3 linked regions of the Drosophila melanogaster genome follow. The protein of the gene in region 1 interacts with the protein of each later gene in a pairwise test. Each region holds a gene or a part of one and is shown on either strand. Other genes may lie near its edges.

What was found.
Region 2: the proteins of dimm (region 1) and disco interact in binary tests that used the Drosophila melanogaster proteins (3 or more experiments, as listed by UniProt).
Region 3: the proteins of dimm (region 1) and Nf-YC interact in a two-hybrid assay, tested with the Drosophila melanogaster proteins (one study listed by BioGRID).

The regions. Positions count from the first base shown.
Region 1 is NT_033779.5:21,328,648-21,335,992, forward strand, and holds the start of dimm (dimmed), read left to right. Parts: upstream 1-3,108; 5' UTR 3,109-3,379; intron 3,380-7,345. UniProt on the Drosophila melanogaster protein: Transcription factor that regulates neurosecretory (NS) cell function and neuroendocrine cell fate. Acts as a master regulator of common NS functions such as Phm expression and neuropeptide production.
Region 2 is NC_004354.4:16,209,831-16,220,112, reverse strand, and holds disco (disconnected), read left to right. Parts: upstream 1-3,362; 5' UTR 3,363-3,862; intron 3,863-6,768; 5' UTR 6,769-6,834; coding exon 6,835-8,541; 3' UTR 8,542-9,515; downstream 9,516-10,282. UniProt on the Drosophila melanogaster protein: Required for the establishment of stable connections between the larval optic nerves, the Bolwig's nerves, and their target cells in the brain during embryonic development.
Region 3 is NC_004354.4:6,816,125-6,823,818, forward strand, and holds Nf-YC (nuclear factor Y-box C), read right to left. Parts: upstream 4,796-7,694; 5' UTR 4,603-4,795; coding exon 4,559-4,602; intron 4,401-4,558; coding exon 3,032-4,400; intron 2,970-3,031; coding exon 2,577-2,969; 3' UTR 2,054-2,576; downstream 1-2,053. Other genes in the region: iav (inactive), read left to right, coding at 1-8, 66-282, 341-691, 748-1,545, 1,601-1,821, 1,882-2,032; xit (xiantuan), read left to right, coding at 4,969-5,036, 5,092-6,006, 6,070-6,180, 6,248-6,689; Atx-1 (ataxin 1), read left to right, coding at 7,131-7,231, 7,289-7,514, 7,568-7,694.

The sequences.
Region 1 (7,345 bases):
ATCCTATCCGGAACTGTAAGAAGCTTTCGGCTAAACAATTTTCCCCTTCTTTTACAGCTCTGTCTCCTGTTTTTCTTCCTGTTTATTGTTTCCATGCTTTCGCTGAAAGAGGTGGGGCGCGCAATTGCTTACGCTGCCGACGGGTGATTTACATAATGTCGACAACATGCTGCTCGTACTACCTCTATTTCTTGTTCCCATCCCTTGCAACTGAGTTGCCAGTTTAAAAATATTAACTGTCAATTTGTATTTGGAAATACTTGGCTGAAGGGGAATTAGTGATAAAAGCAAATAAAAAGGGAAGAGGGACTTATTTTCAGTAAATAAACTTTTTCCTTGGCTGACTAATATTAAACAAATAATGCAGCGATGCTTCATTTTAATTCAGTTTTAAAGCAAGTATTAAATCCAAAAGCATCAGTTATAATGTTCCCTCAACTCAGAAAGGTCTTTCCTATCATTTCGAAGAAAACTGAGAACTTAATTTCCCGGGTCGGGGTAACGCTCCTTTTACATGCAACATATTTTTAAATTCATACATTACACCATTATATTATCCACCTCAACAATTATTTATTTAATATAAGGCAAATTCCAACTTTGACTTGGAATAAACAATTACAATTCCAGCAGTGAACTTAACATATTTTTTTTTCTTAGTGTTCTATACATGAAAGTTTTATCCATGCAATATTGCAGCAATTATTGAAATCCCTTTGATCCAAATCAAACAAAAGAAATATTAGTCATATAAAAAACCGCATACGCACATATTCGTGGAGGGAAGCTCGCAACATTCGAATAAGCAAAATAGCTTTCCTAGCAACATTTCATTATCTGCCGACAATAGTTTATCATGAGATAAAGCCCTCCCGATAAGGGCATAAGCACTGTGATAACCAACAGCAACAAGAGCGTGGACAAACAGACGATAATAATAATAACAGTATACAACTCACTCAGTCAATCGGAGTTGGTAACAAAGGAGCTGGCGACAGCCAAGTGGAAAGTCAGCCGCAGTCGAATGCAGGCCGTCGCAAGCAACATGCGTCACATGTACTAATCAGGCTAGTCATCCGCCTCTCACTTAGACCCTTGCACTATGGGAAATTTACCCACTTTTTCTGGCTAAAAGCCATTTTCTGAAAGTCGGTCGATTAATGCAATATTTAATAAGTCTATTCATAATTGACCAATGTTTAGAAATAAATATATATGGAGCAACAACAAAGAAATATGCTGTTAAAAACATCTGTTGCGTCTACAAAAACATTTACGTTAAGTTTTTCCTCCGTTACAAAAGTTGTAATGAAGCAGCTGATTTAAGTGTATTAAGTTTATGTGACTGTCAAAATAAAAAAAAATCGTGTTGTACCCAAAATTGAGTAAAATATAAATTTCCTTACAAAAGCATTTGTTTGATAAAGACTTAACTTAAAAAGTCCATCAATGAAATGTACCTCATGTTGTAGCTTTGTATTCTTGTTAAGTTTTTTATGCTAAAAAGGAGTTCAACAAGGCGGTTGCTGATTTGTTGCTGATTTGTTTTATTATTATACCCGTTACTCGTAGAGTAAATAAATTCGTTGAAAAGTATGTAACTGTCAGAAGGAAGCGATTAAGACTATATAAAGTATATGTTCTTGATCAGGATCAATAACCGAGTCGATCTTATCATGTCCGTCTGTCCGACTATCCGTATGAAGATCTGGCCCTGTCCGTCCGTATGAACGGCGAGATTTCAGGAACTATAAAAGCTAGAAGGTTGAGATGCAGCAGACAGATTCTAGAGACAGACACAAGTTTGTTGACCCATTTTTCCACGCCCACTCTAACGCCCTAAAACCGCCTAAACGGCCGCATTTTGTGAAATGTTGAAATGTTTTCAAAATTGTATTATTCTTGTAAATTCCTATCGATTTGACAAAAACATTTTTGCCACGCTCACTCTAACGCCCTAAAGCCGCCGAACCGGTTAAACCCACACTTTGGAAATTTTTTCTCATTTTATTCCCCAAAAATGATTTATTCCCCAATCTGATAGTCGGAGAACTCGACTATAGCATTCTCTTTTGTTTTTGTTAGTATTATTTTATATAAAGGAGAATTCCCTTTACGAAAATTAGTTAATTAAATATAAGGCGTGGTGCCACGCCCACAGTTTTGGAAGTCTCATAGATATGGTCTAGTATAAGTCAATGTAAGAAAAGAAAAACCAAATATCTTACTCCGTTCTGGAGTTATTCATTTTGGTCAGAAAAAGTGGTAAAATTTCCCATAGTCCCTTGTGGGTGCCCCTGCCCTATGGCTCAATACCCCCCTCTGGAGTTGAGCCTGAGCACGTGGTGTCCATGTCTAGGAACTCCGAGCCACAATCCACCCCGTTGGGCAAATATGTGGTGGCGTTGGAACTGCATCTGTGTATGTGTGAGCTAGCCTGGGACAACGTGCCGGGAAGGGTATATTCGTTTTACGTTTTTACGTTCGTTTTTCATGGGACCTAGTACTTATTGATATAATGTCGGAGTGAGTAGAGGAACGTCATGCCCTGCCAACGGAGTTTTGGTTTGATAAATACTTAATATTTCGCATTTGAGTTTCGAGTTGAGTTTATTTAATTTTGGGTTCGAAAACAAACACTTTCTTGGTTTTGCAGTCATTTGGCTATGAAACTTTAAAAATAGTGCAGGAAATACCATTACACTTTAATGTGTCGAACGGAACTCGCATTAGATACATTCGTAAACATTTTCATATAAAAAAAATTTATTCAAACAGTTACTTAGTATTTATATTAAGGAGTTATCGTGGGTACGGACTGCAATGTCAATATGCAGGCATTAATTAAAGGACCCCAGATAACATAATCCTCTAATTTCAGCGGTGCCACCTCAATACTTTGGAAAATACGAAAAAAAACACTCTGACTCAGAAATCCACTCCGTTTTTGAGTATTTTCAGTTGCTCTCCATTCGCCAGTCTGTTTCGACTCAGGCTCTCGTGCGGGCGGAAGCTCCAGCCCCCTCTGCTGGGTGGACTTGTTGCTCGACTCGACTCCCATCGGCCAGGCTTGTGATTCGTCTTTTGTCTGGACTCGGGTCGGCCGATGGCACCGCTTCGTTCATTCAGCCATTCCACAAGTGGCCGTCATCACCAGCGCTTCCGCGTTTCCGGTAATCGTTGTGCGCTCCCGAGATATTTGATTCGAATTGTGCGGAAGTTTTTAAAAAATACTATTGCTTAGAATTCGAAAACGAAAAAGGATAGCCAAGGATCGATATATATTTAGCAAAAATGAAATGCAGCGTGAATTGTGAGAGTTGTTGAAAAGTGACTTAAATATTTAAAAACATCGTGGATTAATTACATCCAAGTACATGTAAGTTGTCAGTACAATTAAGCTGGCTGAAATGCGTTGTTGGGTTGAGTTCAACAATTTTGACAAAGTAAACTTACCTTATAAAATAAAGCCGACTAATTATGAAAAGCTTACACAAGCAAACCATTGAAAAATAAAAGAAAGCATAGAAAACTAATTTTATTTCTTTTCAACAATCGGTAGTCATTCGGGCTTGGGATAAGTTTACTTCATTTACAAAATTCCCCATACACTTGTCAACTGCAGTATACGTTGTTGTAACTTAGCGGGTGGACCGCACAGAAAAGGCAAACAATTGCTCACAAAAGTATGCTTTATTTAATAGAAAGCGTAATAAATATTACACAAGACCAGGTGCAGGTTGCATCGCTAAGATCCTCAAACCCCTATTTAGCGCTAACAAAGAAAGTGAAATTTTCTGTTAAGTCTCCAAAGGAAGAAGTAGACATTTCTATTGTAATGCCTTGATCGAAGTATGGTTTAACCATTCCCATGAGATGACATTTAAAGGTTGTGCGGAAGTTTTCAAAATAAATGAGTCCAAGAATTTTCTAGGATTATACGTTGGATTCAGGCTATTCATCTACTGTTGGCTAATCGAATGTTAAAATTATTCTCTCCCTTTAAAAGCCAATTGAATTATAAATACTGTTTTATTGTTTAATAAAAATAGGCGATATACAAATTAAAGAAACGGTTAAATGGAATTTATAAATCTGTCCTTTGAATAGACCCCCGATGTGTTAAGCCATGTCACTTTTCTCAACATTTCTTAAGAGACCCCAAAGAGTCTGAAGTCCAAGGAGCTGTTGTCGTTAAATAATAGCGACACTTTTGTTTCATTCAACACCGACGACGGAATAAATGCACTGCAAAGTGCGCGGTTTCTAACAACAAAGTCAATGCACATTTCTCGTCCCGCGTATTCCTTGGTCTGTCTCACGCTTTAAACGCTGCTGCAGGTTCCGGGTCAAATGCTGGTAAGCCAAAGGGCATAACCATAACAACGACAATGCGGCAAAAGCGTTTCATCGGTAAATGTTTTTTATACTCCTCAACTCTTGGCAAAAAAAGTATATTGTATACATACAAAAGAGTTTAGCAAGAAGTTGATGTATTCGCAAATTAAAGAGAATATTAAGCGGGTAAACTTTTATTTCATAAAAATAAACCGCCATAATTTTTAATTCATTTTTGGGACATGTTTCATTTATCTTTGCATTGCGATATAATTAAAATAGATGGTATGAAACCTTAATTTTTTAATCGTAATGACTTAAACATTCTGGCCACGCCCACTCTTACGCAAGCATGATTTTTTTCTAGACAGTACGGTGATATATAGTATGTTACATGAACCGTGTAGTTACAGTGCCCTATAATGGTGAACCGGTTCGCGAGCCAAAACTCTTTTAAATAATCATTACTTTTGCTAAATGAAAATCTTTCACAAATTCACATACTTATACACATTAAAGTGAAGCTAACAACGTGACAACAATTGATGTCCGGCAAGCATCGCATCTTGGGGTCTCTCTTTTTCCAGAACCCTAATACTTATCCGTGGTTCAGCAGCAAGCACCTCGATGATAGTGTCTTCTCTGGAAGCGAAAAAAGGCGTCGCCGGATGTAGTAAAATAGTCGTCCTCGCAGTTGTCCTGTGCACAGCCTTGATCCGAATTCTCATAAGTCCCTGAGATCAGCAAGGAGACCATTTTGGCAACGAAAATCACACGCCTGCTGTTGACTTCTGCGTTGGCCGATTAAACCCAACCAAACCCAAAACTTTTAGAAGTCCGAAGTTCTCATCGACTCAGGCTCTTTATATACAAAATCCATAGCCATATACAGAATCACAAGAGTTTGTGAACACCACTGTACCATTACAAAAGACAAGCAATCGACGATGTACAGCACTGCGCTAAATGAAACCAAAAGATGGCCTTAACTATAATGGCTCGCAATATCTATCTGGTGATGTTTTAAACGAATAAAGTCGAATTCTTGTTCAAAGAGGGCATTTTTCGTGGTCAGTGGCAGTGCAAACCGCTGCATATGACCGACCGCGATTTTTTAGAGCACCTTCGATCTGGTGAAAAAATATTATCAGTTACTAAAACCGCAGTTTACACTTCTTTTTAGTTTTTTTGTTTTAAGGGTGTGCAAACGATAAGAAAATAATAATAATGGTTTTGCAAACGTTTTTAATTGATAATATTTAGTTGTAAGCGATGGTCAAACGCTTTATGTCATATATTTTCTAAATTATACATTTTTTCAAATTCTAAAAGGTGGTCAAACGTGAACAAACAATGGTATTGCGATTTAAAAAAAAAACCTCAACTTCTTGATTTTATATCTTTTTCGAAAATTCTGATTTCAAAAATTGGACGTGGCAAACGATACCAGATTTCAAATTAAAAGAAATTCGATTTTTCCGAACCTAGCAGTCCTTGAGCTATAAAAGCTAAAAGGTTGAGGTTAAGCATACAGATTCTAGAGACATAGAAGCAGCGCAAGTTTGTTGACCCATTTTGCCACACCTACAAACTTACCAAACCTGTCACGCCCGTGCTTTTGAAAAATGTTTTGATCTTTTTTCATATTTTCGCTGGTGTTGTAAATTTGATAAACAAAACTTTTTGCTATGCCCACTCTAACCCCCATAAACCGCCTATTTCATTCTAATTGTATTCTGATATCTGGGTTCCTGATAGTCGGGGAACTCCACTATAGCATAGTCTTTTGTTATTGCTGTGCACGGGGAATTAAACGTCACAATCAGCGAGTAAAAACACTAAAAATTATACACGTCATCATTAACTATTATCTAGGTGCCTCTTCCTTTCTGCACGTCTTTAATTATTACTTTCAGAATGTTAGTATGAAATTCATCTTATTCCTAAAGCAGAACTTATGTGATGTGTCATGTGGCCAGATGGCATCATTTTTTTCGTTAAAAAAGTATTTGACATTGAGAAAACTACTGCATAAACGATCGAGAATCGCTCTCTATTCGTGAATAGAGGGGAAAATATTATAGGCAAGTTCGTCATCTTGGATACATTTCGCAGGGTGTCCGATAATGTAGCCTGTAGTGCAATCACCATCGCCATGTCTCCGTCTGTCAGTTTACAGCAAATCCACGATGCACAGGGATCTGATGTCAAGCTAATGATAGGAAATACTTCTCTTCAACGAATTCACGACGAAATTATCAACTAATTTCGTTTAAGGTGGGCGAAGGCTATTCCTGTGACACTTGTTGGTCAGAATAGGTTCTACGTTTCGAACCACCTAACAAAAACTCAATTCATTTACTCTCTCATCTGTCGGGCTCCACAGATCTTTGTAAATCTTTTGTAAGGCATTTGTCAGTAATGTAAAAAAAAGAAAGAATGCTATAGTCGAGTTCCCCTACCTATCCCCCATCAGGTACCCGTTACTCAGCTAGTGTGAATGCGAACGCGAAATTTTATAATTTTTCGATAGATATTGGAGAATAAAATGAGAAAAACTTAAAAATATTTTCTAAAGTGTTCGGCGGTTCGGCGGCTTTAGGGCGTTAGAGTGGGCGTGACAAAAAGTTGTTTAGCAAATCGTTCCTTTGTTTTAATAATCTAGCGGAATATACAAGGCTATTTACTATATCTAAATACTACTTCCAAATTTTGAAATCAATTTAGAATAAAGACGTCGGGAGTTATTTTTATTTTTTTATTTTTTAACGATAAAAGCTGGAGCATTGAGATTTTTGTCATTTTATTATTTTTCTTGCCACAAAATTGTTAATGCTTCTTGTTCGCCGTCCCTCTACCTTAGTAATACACGTAACACGTAAAGGCTAGGTTTCCCGAACATAAATAGTTAATCTATTCTAAATTAGAACCATTAGCCGATTCCATCCCAAAATTTTCGTTTGTCCGTAAAAGCTTTGAGAGTTTTTTATCTAGTCAATAGCCACTG
Region 2 (10,282 bases), on another chromosome or scaffold:
GTTTGAACTGAAGAGAGCAAAGCCAGCGAACTGGATAACTTCCCATGGCCTTTTGCAGTTCCATATGAGTATCAATGCTCGGATACTCAGGTTGATATTTAGCTTGGGTTTCTGGTTCGGGCTCAGGGCGTTATTTTTTTATTTTTTTTTTTTTTGTGTGGGTAAAAAGAGTATAGCTGGGGTATCGGAATCGAAATCGATGCAGGGTCAAAAATTATTAATGGATTTTTAATATCATTTGTGTCAGCGTAAATCGTATTTAAAGAAATCAGAGGAAAGAGAACCGAAACAAAAAATCTGAAACGATTTATTGACCTGAAGTCAAGTACGCGGCGAGAAAGAGATGAGATGTACGAATATATATATATATATATACATATAGTCGTTGGATCTTTGTAATCCACAGGGCCTCCACTTGATGGTTCGATCTGGATGGGTATGGGTATGGGTATGGGAATGAGGATAGAGGATAGAGGACGGAGAATGGTAATGGTAATCGTAATGGCAATGGGATGGAGAATGAGAACCTGGACGACAAAGTGTGAAAAATGATTGATCGATTTCGTCTCGGATCTCGGACCTCGATTACGTTTCGATTTTGGTGTTCGTGCACAAAGGGTGCCGTGCTATTCCCGTGTTAATAAAGAACTTTGTGCCCGATTCCGATTCAGTATCTTGTTCTTGACTTTAGCCCGGTGACAGTGGATCTGTGGGACTCTGAAGTCCCTGAATTTTGATTCCAGCGGCGACAGCAACGACAATCGACATAATAAGATAGCAATTATTTATCAAATCTGGCAGGGGGCCGAAATAAATCGAAAGAAACGAGCATTTATTTCTCCAAATTTTTGATTAATGAAACCATTTCGCTACACAATAGAAGAGAAAGGAAAAACGAAAGTGTTGACTAGCACTGTCCAACATGAAAAAAAAAAAAATGGGGGGGCGACATCGAGATGACCCCAGAGAAGATATTTCCATTCGTTCCAAACAATATTAAAAAAAAAACCTTCGAGGATTGACTTTTCACCTTCGAACTCACATCAATCAATTCACAAAGGCCAGTTGGCGGCGCCGAATTGAAAAGTGACACTCAGCAATGGGGAATCGATTATAAAGGCACTCCACACATTAATATTATCAGATATTATTCTCAAATCAAGCAATTTGAGGACACCTTGTTGAATAGAATCGAGGCAGCATAAAGGTTGCTGCACTTGTCACTTAAATTGATGGTACATTCTGTAAAAACTTCGTTGAAAAATGATTTTCACAACACATCTAATTATAATCATTAATTTTCACATCACATTTTAAAGTGGAATTATGGTGCTTTTAAGTTTCAGATAAATCTGTTTATCTGAAAGAATTATAGTTTGGGTTTGGAGGATTTATTCCCACCTTCAGATTAAAAATTGAAGTAAACATAGTTTTTAGGAAAACAACAGTGAATAAATTGTGTTATTTATATATTTAGAACAATTAATGTTTCTGCAAAGGTACTTGCGATTACGCGATTACGAAAGCTAAATAAGAAACAACTAATTGAATGAGTGATGCATTGTATTTGAGAAGCCTTAAAGCTTAAAGCTTTAGGTTAACAAGAAACTGATTTGGGTTTGGTTTATAAGTAGTAAGTAAACTTACTTGAATGAATTTTAGTTAGAACCTTATATACCATTTAAACGTATGGTATGATATGTAATACTTAAAGATATTGAATGTTAAGAGAGTGCTTTTTATTAAGTCCTGACCATTTCCTGGAAGTCCAACATTGATGCTAACGCCTTGTGGGTATGCAACATAATAATGCGGTCCTTATTGTTATATTTTTTTATGGTGATTAATGCAAATAGGATTTGTTCCGTACGGTTTTTTTTCGCTTTAAGAACTTTTCTCGGACACTTGTGTGGATAAATTGAAGAACAAATGTGGCCAAATATGTATGTGTGCTTTTGTATCCTTATGTGGGACATTCCGGCGTCTAGCAAATACATACATATACTGTGTGGGAGTGTGGGTGAGAATTATTTTAATTCGGCAATGAAAAGGACAATGAAACGACAAGGAGCTGTGTATATGTGTGTAGGTGCTGCTATCACATAAGGCACTTACATACCGAAGCTGTGCAATTTACATAAGTTATACATGCATACATATGTACATACATATATAGTGGTGGTGGGGGCGGTCATGGTGATAGGATCGTTGAGGGACTGCGGTAGGGGTGTGGGGTGGAAAGAGGAAGCAGCAGCGTCGCTTCTTTGTCACCAGTGCTCGAATTCCATTGGTGCTGTGTGGCGACAGGGAAAAAAAATCGAAGCGAATCGCCCCCATTGCCAAAGTGTCACCCATACACAGATACACCTATACAGCGACATTCGCACCCACACACACACCCATACAGATGCACAGCGCAATCGCAAAACAAAGAGAGCCGCTCAACGCGGCCATTCGTGCGGGTGCGATAGGGACGGCGAGAGGGCACAGCACCGAGTGGACAAGACATCAAATGACAAAAATTTCAAAAGAACCTTCGTGAAGAGAAGCAGAGAGGAGAAGCCCAAGACAAAAAGTGACGTCGCAGCAGCGACAAATTACGTACTGTGTACTGTATACTGTGGCCATTGCCATTTCACTCTCGTTGCTCTCTCCCTCTTGCGCTCTTGTGCTCCGGCTCCCTCTCTCTCGCTCTGTCACACTATAGTGCCCGGCCATGTACTCACACCATCGAACCCAAGGCACCCATACCAGCAAGCGGCGAGAGCGAGCGCTGCGTTCTCTTTGGCTGGCGGCAGTGCGTGTGAATGTGTGTGCCGCACTGACCACACACACACACGTCGCATGTCGCATGTGTCAACCCAACGAAACGGTTTCGTCCACTCAGACGACAGTGTGCGAGCGGGCGCGAGATAGCCGCACGAGCGTGCCAAGCCGCTCGCACGCACGGGACGGCGCTCTTTCGCGGCGTGAGTAAGAGAGTGGTGGCTACTCTTGCCTCGCACTGCTTTGCCGACTGGGCGAGCGGGATGGACTCAAGTGCGGGCGGATCTCTCGCTCGCACTCGGGCGAGTGCCTAATGACCCATCGACGACAATGTGACGAAGGCCAATTCCAATAGCGCGCTCTCTCACACTCTTCCAGGTGCAAGAGCGAAAGAGTGAAAGAGAGAGGGCGCAAGAGCGAGCGGGAGAGCGAGCGAGAGAGAGCCAAATGTCACCCACCCCGCGTGTGCGTGTGTGTTTGTGTCAGTCAGTCGGTGTGTCGGTGTCGGTGTCGCCGCATTTGTCGCTCGCTCTCTGCCCGCTGCGCTGCCGGCGTCGCAGTCGCCGCACAAATTCGTTGGTGAAACGACAAATCGACAATCAGTGTCACCCACGACATTCGAAGAAGTGGATCTCTGCTGTCCCTGCTCTCCGCACATCCGCATCTTCGTCGCTACTTCGTTTGCCACTCCGCATATTCACATATTCGCATCCGCATATTCGCGTCCAGTCCACTCTTCTCTCTGCCGCGCGACCCAGTGCATAAGTGTGCGTGCATACGAGCGTGTGTGTGTGTGTGTGTGTGTCATCGTCAACTGTGAACGACCAACTTTTTTAATATCTCAGCAAAATGCAACAAAAATAAATGCACCACGGGCATGAAAACAACAACAGCACACAGCTCCAACAGTGAATTCTACCATCTGAATTTATCAACTTTTTACGCAACAAAATATCAAAACAAAACAAAGCGAAAGAAACCCTTTTTTTAAATCTCAAACCTGTGACAAAGTGAGAAAATCTAAAACAAAAAAAAAAAACAGCAATAAACCAAAATACAATAAAATATCTACAACTCGCTGCTAAATTAGCAAAAGGTATGTATAGTTCGAGTAAAGTTGATTTGCCGTCGGCACTTCAAGCAAAGAATTCAAATTCAAGTGAAGTCATAGTGAATATTTTTCGAGATCAGAGGAGTATTTTCTAAAAAGAAATCCTGGTGCCATAAAAATATTACCCATTCAAGAATTGTGTTATGAAATAGGAACGCAACAATAGGATTCTTTTCGTGGTAAATAATGATCTTGTTAGGATCACATAGGCTGCTAGTGGCATTAATATGGTATTACCATTTTCATGGGATCTCTGGTGATGTGCTGCCATCTTTTACCTCTAGTCTATGGATTTTCTTATAATATCCTGACTTTGCTAAATTGAAAACAGCTTGTTAATCCAATGTTCGTAAACCCATTTTTGTCTATTTGCTGCGTGAGCTTCGACGACAAAAAAGTGATGTCTTCGGGGGAAACGCCAAATGTCAAAGTTGTAATTAAGATTTTTGTCTGCGGTTTTCGAGCTCTGTTTTTCTCGTTGATGTCCGGACCATCGGCGTTGTCATCTTTGGACCATCGCATGCCCCTTGCATGCCCCTTGTGCCCATCGACTCCTGCTTATTATAATGTACTACTATTAACAGCAACTACAACAGCAATTATAGCCGCCGGATTGCTCACATCTCGGCATCTTCCATCCCCAACTGCCACACACCGTACTCCACAGATCTTGGATCTACCATCTACCATCTAAAGCGTCTCCCAACTCTCGGAATTCTTCAATCTTGTCGTTTCTTGTCTTGGGTACTTTCAACATTTTGCTGCCTTTGCCACTGCCGATAATCAAAAAACGTTTCGTCCGAGAGCCATCAAAAGTTGTGATTGGTTTTTCCCCTACCCCCAGCTGCCCAACATCACCCCCCCTTTCACCATCGGTGGCTTAAGACATTTTAAGCGTTTGACAAAAATAATTACCCATGTACATGCATACTCACCTCGATCTGTCGACCGCGTGCACTGAGAGAAAATAGAGAGGTTGTTATTGTTTTCCGTTGCGCCTTATTGTGCTATGCAAGATTGTTATGATGCTTAGATCTTGAATTGTTTTATATTGAAATGTTAAAAGATCTATATTTTTTTTTGAGTTGAATCTCTTTTTTAAAAGATTCTTGGAAGATAAAAAGGTATAGGCACCTTCAACTCATATGATATAGTTAACTTATAATGATCTAGAAAATTATTGCAACATCTTTGGGTCATTCTCTATTTCTTGAATGGTAACAATATTTTCGGCACCTAGTCAGAAACTGATTACTTCCAAGTACCTGACAATTAAGTTTTTTTTCCCCCCTTTTTGCTCTTCTTTTTTTTTTCTTGCGCTTTCGCATTTTCGCCGTGTGTACATACACTCATTTTAATGCTATTGTTGTCATCGTTACTAATGAGCCCCATAAAAAGCGACCATCTCCTGGCTTCCTGCAACTGTGTGCGTGTTACCTGTATGCCTGTATGTGTGAGCCATAGTCGTATGTGGTTTTCGGCTTAACTTTTTAGCTGGCATTGGGCAAGCGAATGCGAATGTGTGTTCGACTTTTGAGATCGAATCCAGATAGCCAGCCACGACATCGCACACACGATCATCACCATCGTCATCCGCATCTCACCGCAATTGTCCCCAGTTTTGTGACGCCCCTGGGTTCGGTTCACTTCTTTTTTTTTTTTTTTACCCCTGATTTGTTTCTGTTTTTAACGTCAAGTCGACTGCTCACAATTACGGTAGCGAACGGAGTCCACAATAAAAAAAATGAGCTAGCTCTGGCTTTAGCTTTGCTTTTGGTTTTGGTTTTGGCTTTAACTCCGACCGATCGGATCCAAAGTCGAAGTCCGACACTGATCGCCGCATGTTGTCGTCGCCGTCGACGTTGTCAGAGGCGATTTTAATGGCCAGAAGAACCGAAAAAGCTGTAAAAGATTTCGCTCGAGTAAATGAGGCAATGTGCACTTACACAAGTAATGCGCCAGTGTTAGTGTACAGTGGGCCTTGGCTACGACAGAAATTGGGTGCATAGGAACCAAAATGATAAAGATTAAACAAATGATGTAGCGTCAGTCACTGGGATACCCCTTTTGATTATTTCAAAATACAAAACATGGCAACTCTAGTTGTTCTACTGTACTATCGGCTCGACATGAAAGATATGCCGCCATCGGTGTCGCCGATATAAATGTTCGCTTGTCTGAGTTATTGTAAGCAGTGTGTGTCTTACCAATAAATCTAGCTGGATTTGCACAAAGTTGGCTAAGCTCCTTGGAAGCTTTCACTTGGGAATTTCGGTAATACACTTGAGATATGACTTTAGAGCGCTTTCCAATGCTATAGATTAGTGCTTTTGGCGTGGCAATGCAGTCATATGTACATATACATTCGCCTCAGATATTAATCTATATCTTAAGGATATCGAATATTAATTAATGAAAAAGCCATTTGAACAGCAATGGGGTTTTTTTTTTTTTGAAGCACACAGCTGGCAGCCTTAAAGACTTTCTTTTAAATCTGGATTTCAGAATGTATCTTACAGCAATGACCAACTAATCGCTGTAATCCACTGATTAATTGAGACCCCCCCCCAAAATAAAGTTTTCTCCCCTTGACTTATTCGACCGTCTTGACTTTTCGCACTCTAATTGCGCATCAATGACCACTGCCCAATGTCCCAGGTCCAGGAGTCAATGTCCATGTCCCCGGCACCACAGACCATTCAACAATTTGCCCTGCTGACTCTCGGCGATAAGGTTGATTCCAGTTTCCCAGTTGTAGTTGCGCAATCGGATTTGCCCCGCAACCCTGGCAATAGTTTTCGATTAGGACTGACCGATTCACTGACTTCCTGATTGACACTCCCTGATTGACACTCCTAACGATTCGTTTCTGTTTCTTGTTTGTTTTCCAGGCACCACCAGTCATCGCCATCGCCATCGCCAGCGCGACCATAGAAACAAAATCCACCACAGACGACATGGAGCACATAATGAATCCGTTCATGTCACCGGCTTATCTGCTGGGCCATGGCCCACATTCCCACCAGCATGTGCACTCCCATCTACCGTCACACCCGCAGCCAAATGCCGCCTCTCCGGCCAGCTCACCCGGCGGATCCAGTGGCTCTGGATCGGGATCGGCAGCGGGATCGGGCACTGGATCAGGTTCATCCTTAAAGCCTCGTCGCTGGGGCTCACCGCCCATCAATCTGGCCGGTCAGTTTATCAATCCAGCCACGGGAAAGAAACGAGTACAGTGCTCCATTTGCTTCAAGACCTTCTGCGACAAGGGCGCCCTTAAGATTCACTTTTCGGCCGTGCATCTTCGCGAGATGCACAAGTGCACGGTGGAGGGCTGCAATATGGTGTTCAGTTCGAGGCGTTCGAGGAATCGCCATAGCGCCAATCCGAATCCCAAACTCCATTCGCCACACATCCGGCGCAAGATCTCGCCGCACGATGGCCGCACTGCCCAGCAGTTTCCGGTTTTCTCGCCCGGAACAGCCGCAGCAGCGGCCGCTGTCGCCGGACGACTTCCGGTTGCCTTTCCCGGACTTCTGCCACCGCCGCCGCCGCATCATGGTCACCATCCGTACGTCATGTTCGGCGGACAGGCGGGTCTACATGGCTTGGGCCTGCTTTCCACCGGCTGTCAGGATCCCGATTCTGGATCGGTGGACAATGAACAGGATGCTGATCCCGAAGATGACAACGACTTTGTGTACGTGGACATGCAGGCCAATAGCTCTAGTCCGGCGGCCTCCAGCGAGGATCAGGAGGAACACGAACGGGATAATGAGCAGGATGAGGAGATGCACTGCAGCTTGAGCCTGGCCAGCAGTAGTAGCATTGCCGCCGATGAGGAGCGGGCAGCTGACCAGCCATTGGATTTCAGCCTTCACAAGCGTCGCAAGTCGGAGCAGGATCGGGAACAGGAGCAGGAGCAGGAGCAGGAACGGGAGCGGGAGGCGGAAAAGGAGCAGGAACAGGATGTGGAATCCGACAAGGAGCACGAACCCGAACAGGAGCATGAGCTGGAGCGTGAGAAGCGCTCGCCCAGCGATGCCTTCTCCATGGATCAGTTGCTGGGCAAGCGTAAGCGTCACGACAGCACCGCCTCCAGCTCCGCCTGTTCCACGGCAGCCGCCTCCTCCGCCTCTAGTTCCTCCGCCAGCGCTAGCGCCAATCCACCACAGACGAGCATCAAAATGGATCTGGACCCGGATAGCGACAGTGCCTACATGACCAGCCGGCGGCAAATGCTCCCACTGCCCGTTCTGGACCTCGAGGAGCATCATCATCTGCGCCTGCTGCAGACCCAGATGTTTGCCGCCGCAGCGGCTGCCGCTGCCACCAGCCAGGCACCGCCCACCGCCTTCCTGCCGGCGGGATCACCCGTGGATCTGGCCAAGGACTCGCCGCCCATGTGGAGTCTCCTCTCCGAAATGTACCGCTCCATGCTGCTGAAGACACAGCACCAGCAATACAACCACCATCACCAGCTGCAGCAGCAACACCAGCAGGAGCAGCATCATCATCTGACCCTGAGCCACCACCATCAGGAGCAGCACCATCATCTGGGTCATCACCACATGGGTCACCACCACCATCATCACCATCAGCACCACCAACAGCAGCCGCAACAGCAATCGCCGGCGGCCACGAATGCGCCGATTTCCGTCTAATGTCCAGACTGCTGATCCATGGCGATGATTTCTAGATGATTTCCTTAGTCAAATTTGTTTTTATATTTTTTTTTTGTGTGTGAATCGTATTTTAAGAAGAATACATTTGGTGGCGTGCTGCATTACACAAAAAGGTGGAGCTTCAGGTGGTGGGGCTGTGCCACAGCTTGACCATTAAATGGCTGGCACTCCTCCTCAGGCGCGACCCCGCAACACCCGCAACCAATGCCACTAAGTACCCCACCCCCCCCTCTGAAAACTGGAATTGCTCCGAAACTAAGCTTTTTCTGCTCGTACATGTGTTATATGGATTTTTTTTTTTTTTGGAAACCTATGTATAATGTATAATGTATACTGTAGTGCGACATCTAAGTGTATAGTATTCAATCCGTTCCTCAGTGTGAATGTGCAGATGCATGAATGAGAGTGTGTGTGTGTGTGTGTGTGGGATCCCAGGATCGGATCCAAAAAAAAAAAAAAATTAAAGTCTGTCATCTGAAAAGCGGGCTGGGCAGTGCAGAAGCGGGGATTTTGGAACGGGTTCCGTTTCCCTGCCCCCTCTATCGGTGTACAACGAAGTATTGATATTTATAACGAAATATATATTATGAATGGCATATATTAAATAGTTTTAAGACAATTTTTTTCGTAGCCAATAAAACTATATTGTATTGTATAACTTGGATGTACTAACACAGCAAGCAAATTCTATTGAAACATATCCCCCCCGTGTGTTAAAAAAATAAAAAACCAGAAGAGATTCAATTCAACCAATCCCTAAAGAAAAAAAATAAACCCAAAAAAAAAAAAACAAAATTATAAAAATCCATCGCAAAGGTTGATAGATCGTAGGTGAACGAAAATGTTATTGCTATCGCAAACGAAAATTCCTCCCGACGATTGTGTACTGTATTACAACAAGATTTTAAGTTTTTTATTAACAAATAAACAACGGCAAAATTGAAGAAACATGTAATCAAAGATGCTTTTTTTTATTGGTTCTCTGGGCGGATACATAATTTTCATGTTTTCACTATGAAAATAGAGCATATGTACTTTATGTGAATAATATAGATGAGTCATCGATTTTATGCGGATTTTGTTTTTCCATTCGAAAGATATAAAGTCCAGTGGAAAATATCTACAAAAAATTGCTATTTTCGTTAAATGCCATTTAATTCAGATATATTACTGCCCACCTTAAATCATTTAGTAATGTTTTTACGTAAATAGACCGATGTGCGTAACTCATTTGGATCACAATCACAAGTCAAGCTAGCTCTTCTCGCCTGCGAAAAGCACACGTACATATTTGCTTGTCTCAACGAATCCAGATTCAAATGTATATAGTATTGGTCTGATGAGATCTATAATGGGCAACGCCCTCGAAATGGTCTGTCCCTCCCGTTTGCACAAATGAGTATCCGAAATGCCGACGGACACTCACAAGAAGGCGTGACATGCGGCATAAATTGGTTTTCGGCTCCGCAACTATAGCATAGCATACCATACCGAAACCATACTTTACGGTTCCGAACCATACCATACCATACCAAACCAAACCATACCATGCCATACCATACCATGCCATACCATACCATATTCCTATACTCCATCCAATACTTGTACATATCGTACTCCCCCCGCGAATCGTCGTGATGAATGACCAACTATTGGTCGCAGCGGCAACCACATCATCATCATCATTATGGATAGGCATTTGAGGCCACTTATGGACGGA
Region 3 (7,694 bases), on another chromosome or scaffold:
TTTGCTGGGTAAATTAGATAGATAGATAGCTTGTGCAGGAGTTATCCCCAATCCTCATGTTTCAGTGCCATTCGGCTGACGGGTCCGTTTGTGACCATGATCTATTCCATGATCACGGGCGACATGTTCACCTTCGGCATCATCTACTGCATCGTCCTGTGCGGATTCTCGCAGGCCTTCTACTTCCTCTACAAGGGACATCCCCAGGTGCAGTCCACCATGTTCAATACCTACACCAGCACTTGGATGGCCCTGTTCCAAACCACACTGGGTGATTATAACGTAAGTGGGTGCCTCGATCGTGGATTACTTACTTGTAATTATATAACTTCTGTTGCAGTATCCCGATCTCAATCAGACCACATATCCCAATCTCTCCAAGACCGTGTTTGTCATCTTTATGATCTTCGTACCCATCCTGTTGCTCAACATGTTGATTGCCATGATGGGCAACACCTATGTGACTGTGATCGAGCAGTCGGAGAAGGAATGGATGAAGCAGTGGGCCAAGATTGTCGTCACCCTGGAGCGCGCTGTTCCGCAGGCGGATGCCAAGGGCTATCTGGAGGCATACTCCATCCCGCTGGGTCCGTCCGATGACTCCGGTTTCGAAGTGCGCGGCGTGATGGTCATCAAGAGCAAGAGCAAGACGAGGGCCAAGCAGCGAAAAGGAGCCGTCTCCAACTGGAAGGTAAGTTGCCATACCCCGTACGCATCCTAATGCATTCCTAAGCCAATCCTCTGCAGCGCGTGGGTCGTGTGACGCTAACGGCGCTCAAGAAACGCGGAATGACCGGCGAGGAGATGCGTCGCCTTATGTGGGGCCGTGCCTCCATCTCCAGTCCCGTGAAAGTGACGAAGCAGAAGCTTAAGGATCCCTACAATCTGCACACGGACTCCGACTTCACCAACGCCATGGACATGCTGACCTTCGCTAGCAACCCGGCTTCCTCCAATGGCGTCACCCTGCGATCGGTAACAGCGCCTCCGCCCGCACCGCCAGCACCGGATCCCTTCAGGGAGCTGATCATGATGTCGGACCAGCGACCGGAGACCCATGATCCCCACTACTTTGCCGGCCTGCAGCAGCTGGCCAATAAGGCTTTCGATTTGGTGGAGCAAACGATGAAGACACAGCCGCAAGCGCCGGTGGCCAAGAAGGTGGATCCACTGCCAGTGGCTTCGGTGGCCAAAGCATCTCCAGCCGCTCCTGCAACACAAGCTACTGCTACTGCTGCTGCTGCTTCCGATCTAATGGCCATGCCACTGCCCATTTCGAACTTGAGCAATCTTTTCCAAGACCCCAAGGACATTGTCGATCCCAAAAAGCTGGAGGAGTTCATGGCCATGCTGGCCGAGGTGGAAACCGAGGAGAGCGACAGCGGCGGACCCATTCTCGGCAAGCTATCGCTGGCCAAACGGACACACAATGCCCTATCCAAGGCGGAAATTCGACGGGATCAGCAGGGATTCGAGGGTCACAGCCATGGACAGTTTCAGCCCATGTCCTCGGTGTGGGCACCACCTGGCCTGGATGTGGACACGGTGAGTGGATAAAAAAAGTGAAATAGCTGAGTGCAAAATGTAAACCCACTAGCAGGGCTTCCACTTCGATGAAGCCGTCGCGGAGGAGGTGCTGACCATCGAACAGGAAGCCGAAGTGGAGACCGAGGACGGCAATGGTGGACAGGACAGCGAGGATATACCCACGGCGGAGGAGGTGCACGCCACTATGAAGCAGTTTCACCTGCGCAAGTGCCAGCCAGCACAGGATGAGGCCGCTCGTCGCGCCAAAAGTGCTCGTGTTCGTCGCCGAAACAAGTGAGTTCCCATCCCAGTGTCCGTTTCATATCTTAATCCCACGTTTTCCTTGGGCGCCAGAGTTTCGCCGGAGCAAAGCGATGATCCGGACGAGCGCAGCCAGCGGGGACGTTCCGCTTACACGCGGCGAACGCAATCGCCGCCCGATCCGCTGGAACCATGGAGCACCCGCGAACTGCAGGACATCAACAAGATCCTGGCCAGAAAGTGAATACAGTTAGCGCAGGAGTTTCTGGCACATAGTCCTTGGTGGCTTATAATTGTTTATCAGATCTTAGCTTAGTTAGAAGTACAAATACATAATAAAGAGCGCGGATGCCACGCGAAACGCTGGGTTATGCTTTGGACCGGTGGCATCCGTCACCCGTCACATACATACACTAATACACTCGATTTCCCATTATTCTCTCTAAGTGCTAGGTTTAAAAGTGGTGGAGGTGGCGGTTTTTTTTTTTGGAGAAGGTGAAACCTGCTGCCAGGGGGCGGGAGGGTCAGCAATAAATTACAATTGAGAAATCGTTTCTACACAGATGCCTACGACTTAGACACTAGCTATATATAATCTCCCCCGCGATATACAATCGTATACACCTACGTAAACTATAATATTATACATTGTGCTGGATGACAGGGGATGGCGCAATCAATGCCCGCTTGCCAATGCCCGATTCCAATGCCTCCCGATGCTTTCGATATGATTGCCAACTGTCCGTCTGTCCGTCCGTCCGTTGGTACGGATATCATACTTCCAGCTTTTACCGAAATCCGCCGGTTAATGTGCGATCCGTGGACATGGTGGAGATCGTTTGTGCCTGTTGCTGCTGCGCCGACTGCTGCTGCTGCGCCTGCGTCGCCGCCGCCTGGGCACCAGTCATGGTCGAGTTGATAAAGATCGGCGTGCCACTGGCCACCGCACTGGCGTTGCTCTGCTGCGTGAGATTGGCGTGCTGCTGCTGTTGCTGCTGCTGCTGATGGGCCACTGTGGGTGCTCCGCCCAGCTGGAGCAGTTGCTGTGTCGTCAGCAGTTGGGTTGGTATGATGACCTGTTGTTGCTGCTGCTGCTGTTGCTGCTGCTGTTGTTGCTGCTGCTGCTGCTGTTGCATTTGTAGTCGCTGCAGGAGATTCAAATGACTGGCATTGATGGCGATCTGCAATGGGAAAGGCAAGTCTTAATCTGGGATTCAATACAATTACCTCAAGTGATACCTACCGGCACATTAGTCAGCTCCCCCGTGGGCGTAACCACTTGCTGCAGCAGCTGAATCTGCTGCTGATGTTGCTGGTGCTGCTGTTGCTGCTGGGCGAGATTCTGGAGCAGCGCCGTCTGTTGCTGGGCAGTCGTTTGCGGCGCTGGCGTTGCGGTCAGCTGACCATTGGGACCGGCGGTCAGTATCAACTGCTGGGTGGGTTGTTGGGTTGACAAAATGTTGATGGGTAGATGATTCTGCGCGGGCTGCGGCTGCTGCACGAGCTGCGCCGCCTGCTGACTCGGCAGTGCGATAAAGTATTGCAACTGTTGGCCACCAGCGCCCTGCTGAATAATCTGAACCTGCTGTGGATGTGCCTGGTGATGTTGCTGCTGCTGTTGTTGCTGCTGCTGCTGGGCGGCGTGCTGTTGCTGCTGTTGTTGTTGCTGCTGCAGTTGCGCTGAGAAGATGTCCGAGTTGACAGTGCTGAAGCCGAGCACCTCGGCGGCATTGGTTGCACCCGTGGTGTCCAGCTTGAGGCCACCAGCGGTGGTCGCAGGTACGGTGGAACCACTGGCTACAAAGTTGCCCGTGGCGGTAGCATTGCCCGCCACGGAGGCGGCCGCATTGGAGGTGGCTGTGTTGGAGGTGGAGGCGGCACTGCTGGCTGCGCCCGCCATTCCGCTCGAACTGGATGTACTGCCATCCTTGGTCTTTTGCGCCGACGACGGTTTGATCTCTTCGCGCGGCACAATGTCGATGAGGAAGTCGAACTGGTCGTAGTTGGCTATGGCCTGGGCAATGTCCGAACGCTGGAGCGTACGCCGCCGGCTCTCCTCGGTGTGCACCCAAGCGTGCATAGTCAGCTCCTGAATGAAGTACTCGCAGGCTTTGGCAAACAGTAGCGGCGCCTCGCCGGCAATCATCTTGGCGTTCTCGTCCAGCTTCATGATTTTCTTGATGCGCGCCAGCGGCAGCACCTGGTGCTTGGCATCCACCTGGCCGATGCTGTGCACCTCGCTCACGATATTTGGCCAGAAGTTGTCGATGGTGGGCGGCGGTTTGCGTGCCACCTGAGTTCGTGTGGCCTTCGTGGTCTTCTCCTTGGCGCCGCTCGCAACGGTGGTGGCCACCGTCACACTCATGCTGGGATTAACCAGCGTACAGGCGTTGGACACCAAACTGGCCATGGGAACCGTCTGCTGTTGCTGCTGGCCCTGCTGTTGCTGCTGCTGCTGGGCGGAGGAGACGGTGGAGGAGGAGGTGACCACCACTGCATTCGGTGTTCTTCGCTGCATAGCCGCTGAATTTTGCGATTTGGCATACGCCTGGCCCAGTTCCATCTTTATGGGCGTCACTGTGATGGTGTTGTCGAACATGGAGGTGGCATTGCTGTAGGGCATTCACATTAGTTTCATTCAAATTATTTGGCATGCACAAATCGCAGAATGAAAACAAAAAGGATCGGCGCACACACTAAAAATCTCGGCTGTACCGCCTGTTTTTTTGGGGGAGGGGCGCTAGATTTTGCTGGCGGAGGCGGAACTTACCTGTTTGGCGCCTTGTTCGTGCCGCCATTGTTGGTGGCGTACATGGCCCGGTTGGCTGGAGACCTTAGCTCGGCGTTGGCGGCAACCGTGGGACTCTGGCGACCGGCTCGAGTCCACAATATTCGCTTTAATTAGCTTCTAATTCGCAAAGCAAATGCGTAATGTAATGCACACACACACACATGCATACACGCGAGCGTCAGTGTGACCAGGCGGCGGTGAGGGCGAAAACTGGACAGCCCGATAACGATAGCTTTTAGTCGGGCTAACTGGCTACTTCCAAGCCACATTTAGCCGGCACAATCGACAATCGCATTCTGCCCGCTTTCAAGCCAGATCGGACAGCACTTACCGCTGATAAGGAATGCATCGAATCTAAACTACAATCCCAATCCCTGAGAGAAACGAAGATGAAGGACCTCTTCTGGCACCTGGTGGGCATAGCCACCGGCCTAAAGATCCTGCTGATTCCAGCCTAGTAAATGCAGTGCTCTGTCCACTTATCAAGCCCACTAAATCAACTTCATCCTTAGCCATTCCACGGATTTCGAAGTCCATCGCAACTGGCTGGCCATCACCCACAGTTTGCCGCTGAATCAGTGGTATGTGGACGCCACCAGCGAGTGGACACTGGACTATCCGCCGTTCTTCGCCTACTTCGAGTGGCTGCTCTCGCAGGTGGCCAAGTACGTGGATCCACGAATGCTGGTGGTGGATAACCTGAATTACGAGTCCAAGGCCACCGTTTACTTTCAGCGGCTCTCGGTGATTGTTACGGATCTAGTGTATGTGCTCGGCGTGCGCAGCTGCCTGGGCTCACTGGGATTGGGCAGGGATACGCAGCAGTTCTTTGCCGCCTCCATGTTGCTGCTCCTCAACGTGGGATTGATCTTCGTGGACCACATTCACTTTCAGTACAATGGCTTGCTGTTCGGCATACTGCTCCTGAGCATCGGTTCCCTCATCCGGCAGCGGTTCCTCTGGAGCGCCTTTGCCTTCGCCGTGCTGCTCAACTTTAAGCACATCTTTCTGTACATGGCGCCCGCTTTTGGGGTCTACCTGCTGCGTTTCTATTGCCTGGAGCAAGCGAGTGTGGTGTCTGCGGTGGGTGCCGTTGTCAAGCTGCTGGTCGTTGGACTTACTCCGTTCGCCGTGTCTTTCGGACCCTTCTGGCAGCAATTGCCGCAAGTCCTCTCCCGTCTGTTTCCTTTCAAGCGTGGCCTAACGCACGCCTACTGGGCACCCAACTTCTGGGCGCTGTACAATGCCGCCGACAAGTTGGCCGCCGGAGTTTTGAAGGTACAGGATGGCGGTGCCTCGACGACGTCAGGATTGGTCCAGGAGGTCAGGCACTCGGTGCTGCCAGCCATCACACCGCCTGTGACTTTTGCCCTGACCGCTCTCTTCATGCTGCCCATTTTGGTGAAGCTCTTTCGCAGTGCCAAGAAGTGAGGAAATCCTCGTTTGGATTCCAAGATATCGCAGCAAACTTATCCGCCATCTCTTTGCAGACAAAGTCCGCTGGTCTTCCTGCGAGCGGTGGTTTTGTGCGGCTGTTCCTCCTTCGTCTTCGGCTGGCATGTGCACGAGAAGGCCATCTTAATGGTGCTCCTTCCGCTCTGGTGAGTTCCCTTCCCCTCAGTTAATTCGAAATGAAGGAATCCTACTAACAGGCCCACCCTTTTTCAGTCTGCTCACGCTGGTAAACCGGGAGGATGCCAGATACGCCTATGTCCTTGGCATTGCCGGCTATTTCTCTCTCTTTCCGCTGCTCTTCGATGCGGATCTGTACATTCCCCGGTATTCCCTGTACATGTCGTACGTGGCCATGATGTACGGCCAGCTGTATCGCATCTTCCCCGGCTTCCGAGGCTTCCACACGCTGGAGTGGCTATACATGCTGGGCTTCATGGCTATTCCGCTGTACGAGCATCTGCTCTCTTTCCTGCTGCACCTGGACCAGCGCCTGCCCTTCTTGCCCCTACTGCTGACCTCCGTGTACTCGGCGTTGGGAGTGCTCTACTTCTTTGGGGCCTACTATCTGTACGCTCTGGGCATTAGCTGGGGCAAGGTGCCCATCGCATCGTCCACATCCGCGGCCGCTGTTAAGAGAAAACGAAAAACCAAATAAACGGAGCGCTATAAAGGGCTTCAGCAGAAATCCGCAATTGGTCACGTCTTGCATTCAGAGTGGTAGTGCTGGTGGTGCAGCCGAGCAGTCTTCAAGGCGCCTGGCGCAACAGCCAGTTCGGCGCCGCTGGACGGGATTCTCTGGTCCGATCGGCACAATGGACAACGAACAATGGCTGTTAAGCAGAATTCGGTGGGCAGGTAGCGGTCACCGGCGGCGTCTAAGGTGCCACGTACCTGTTGGCACGACCAGATTATGGCCTTTTGGGCCATAAAACAGGTACGAGGCGGAATAGTCGGCCGGCCGTCCGTCCGAGTGGGTGACATTCCTGGAAAAACCGTGGAAAACACGCTGGAGCTGAATGAATAAGTGTATATCAATTGCCAGCCTGGGCAGGGAATACTTCAGTTGACGAGCTTCCGTCCAGACGAACAGATCGACATGCAGATGCACATGGAACTCTCCTATGGCCGCGGCTACGATCCAATCGGGAGGCAACCACCGTCTCTTCCTCCTCCGTCGCAACAGCACTGGTCCAGCAAGTAAGCAAACGATTCGGCACTTTTTCCCATCCAGTTAATCAGTTGCCTCAATTTTAGTGGGTTCTCCGACGACTCCGCTTCCTGCTTCCGTCGGGGATCCTATATTGAACTGGCCAGCGGAGCCATGCGTCGCGTGGAGGACATACGCACCGAGGACTTCATCCAGTCGGCGCTGCGCAGTCAACTATTTGAGCTGCGAGAGGCGACAGTAGTGAGGATAGACTGGAGTGGATGCCCCAGCCTGGTGACACTCACCTTCAGCTACGACACACACCACGCCAAGGTGGGTTCGCCAATCTGTACCCATATTCGTCTCATCATTGACCAATGTTTCAGATGGACTTGCAGGTGCAGCCGGGTCATCCAATGTTTGTTTACGGACAGGGCTGGGCCTCCTGCGATCCACAGTTGTCGCTGCAGCTGTACGAGCTCAAATGCCAGCAGCTGCAGGTGGGCGACATAT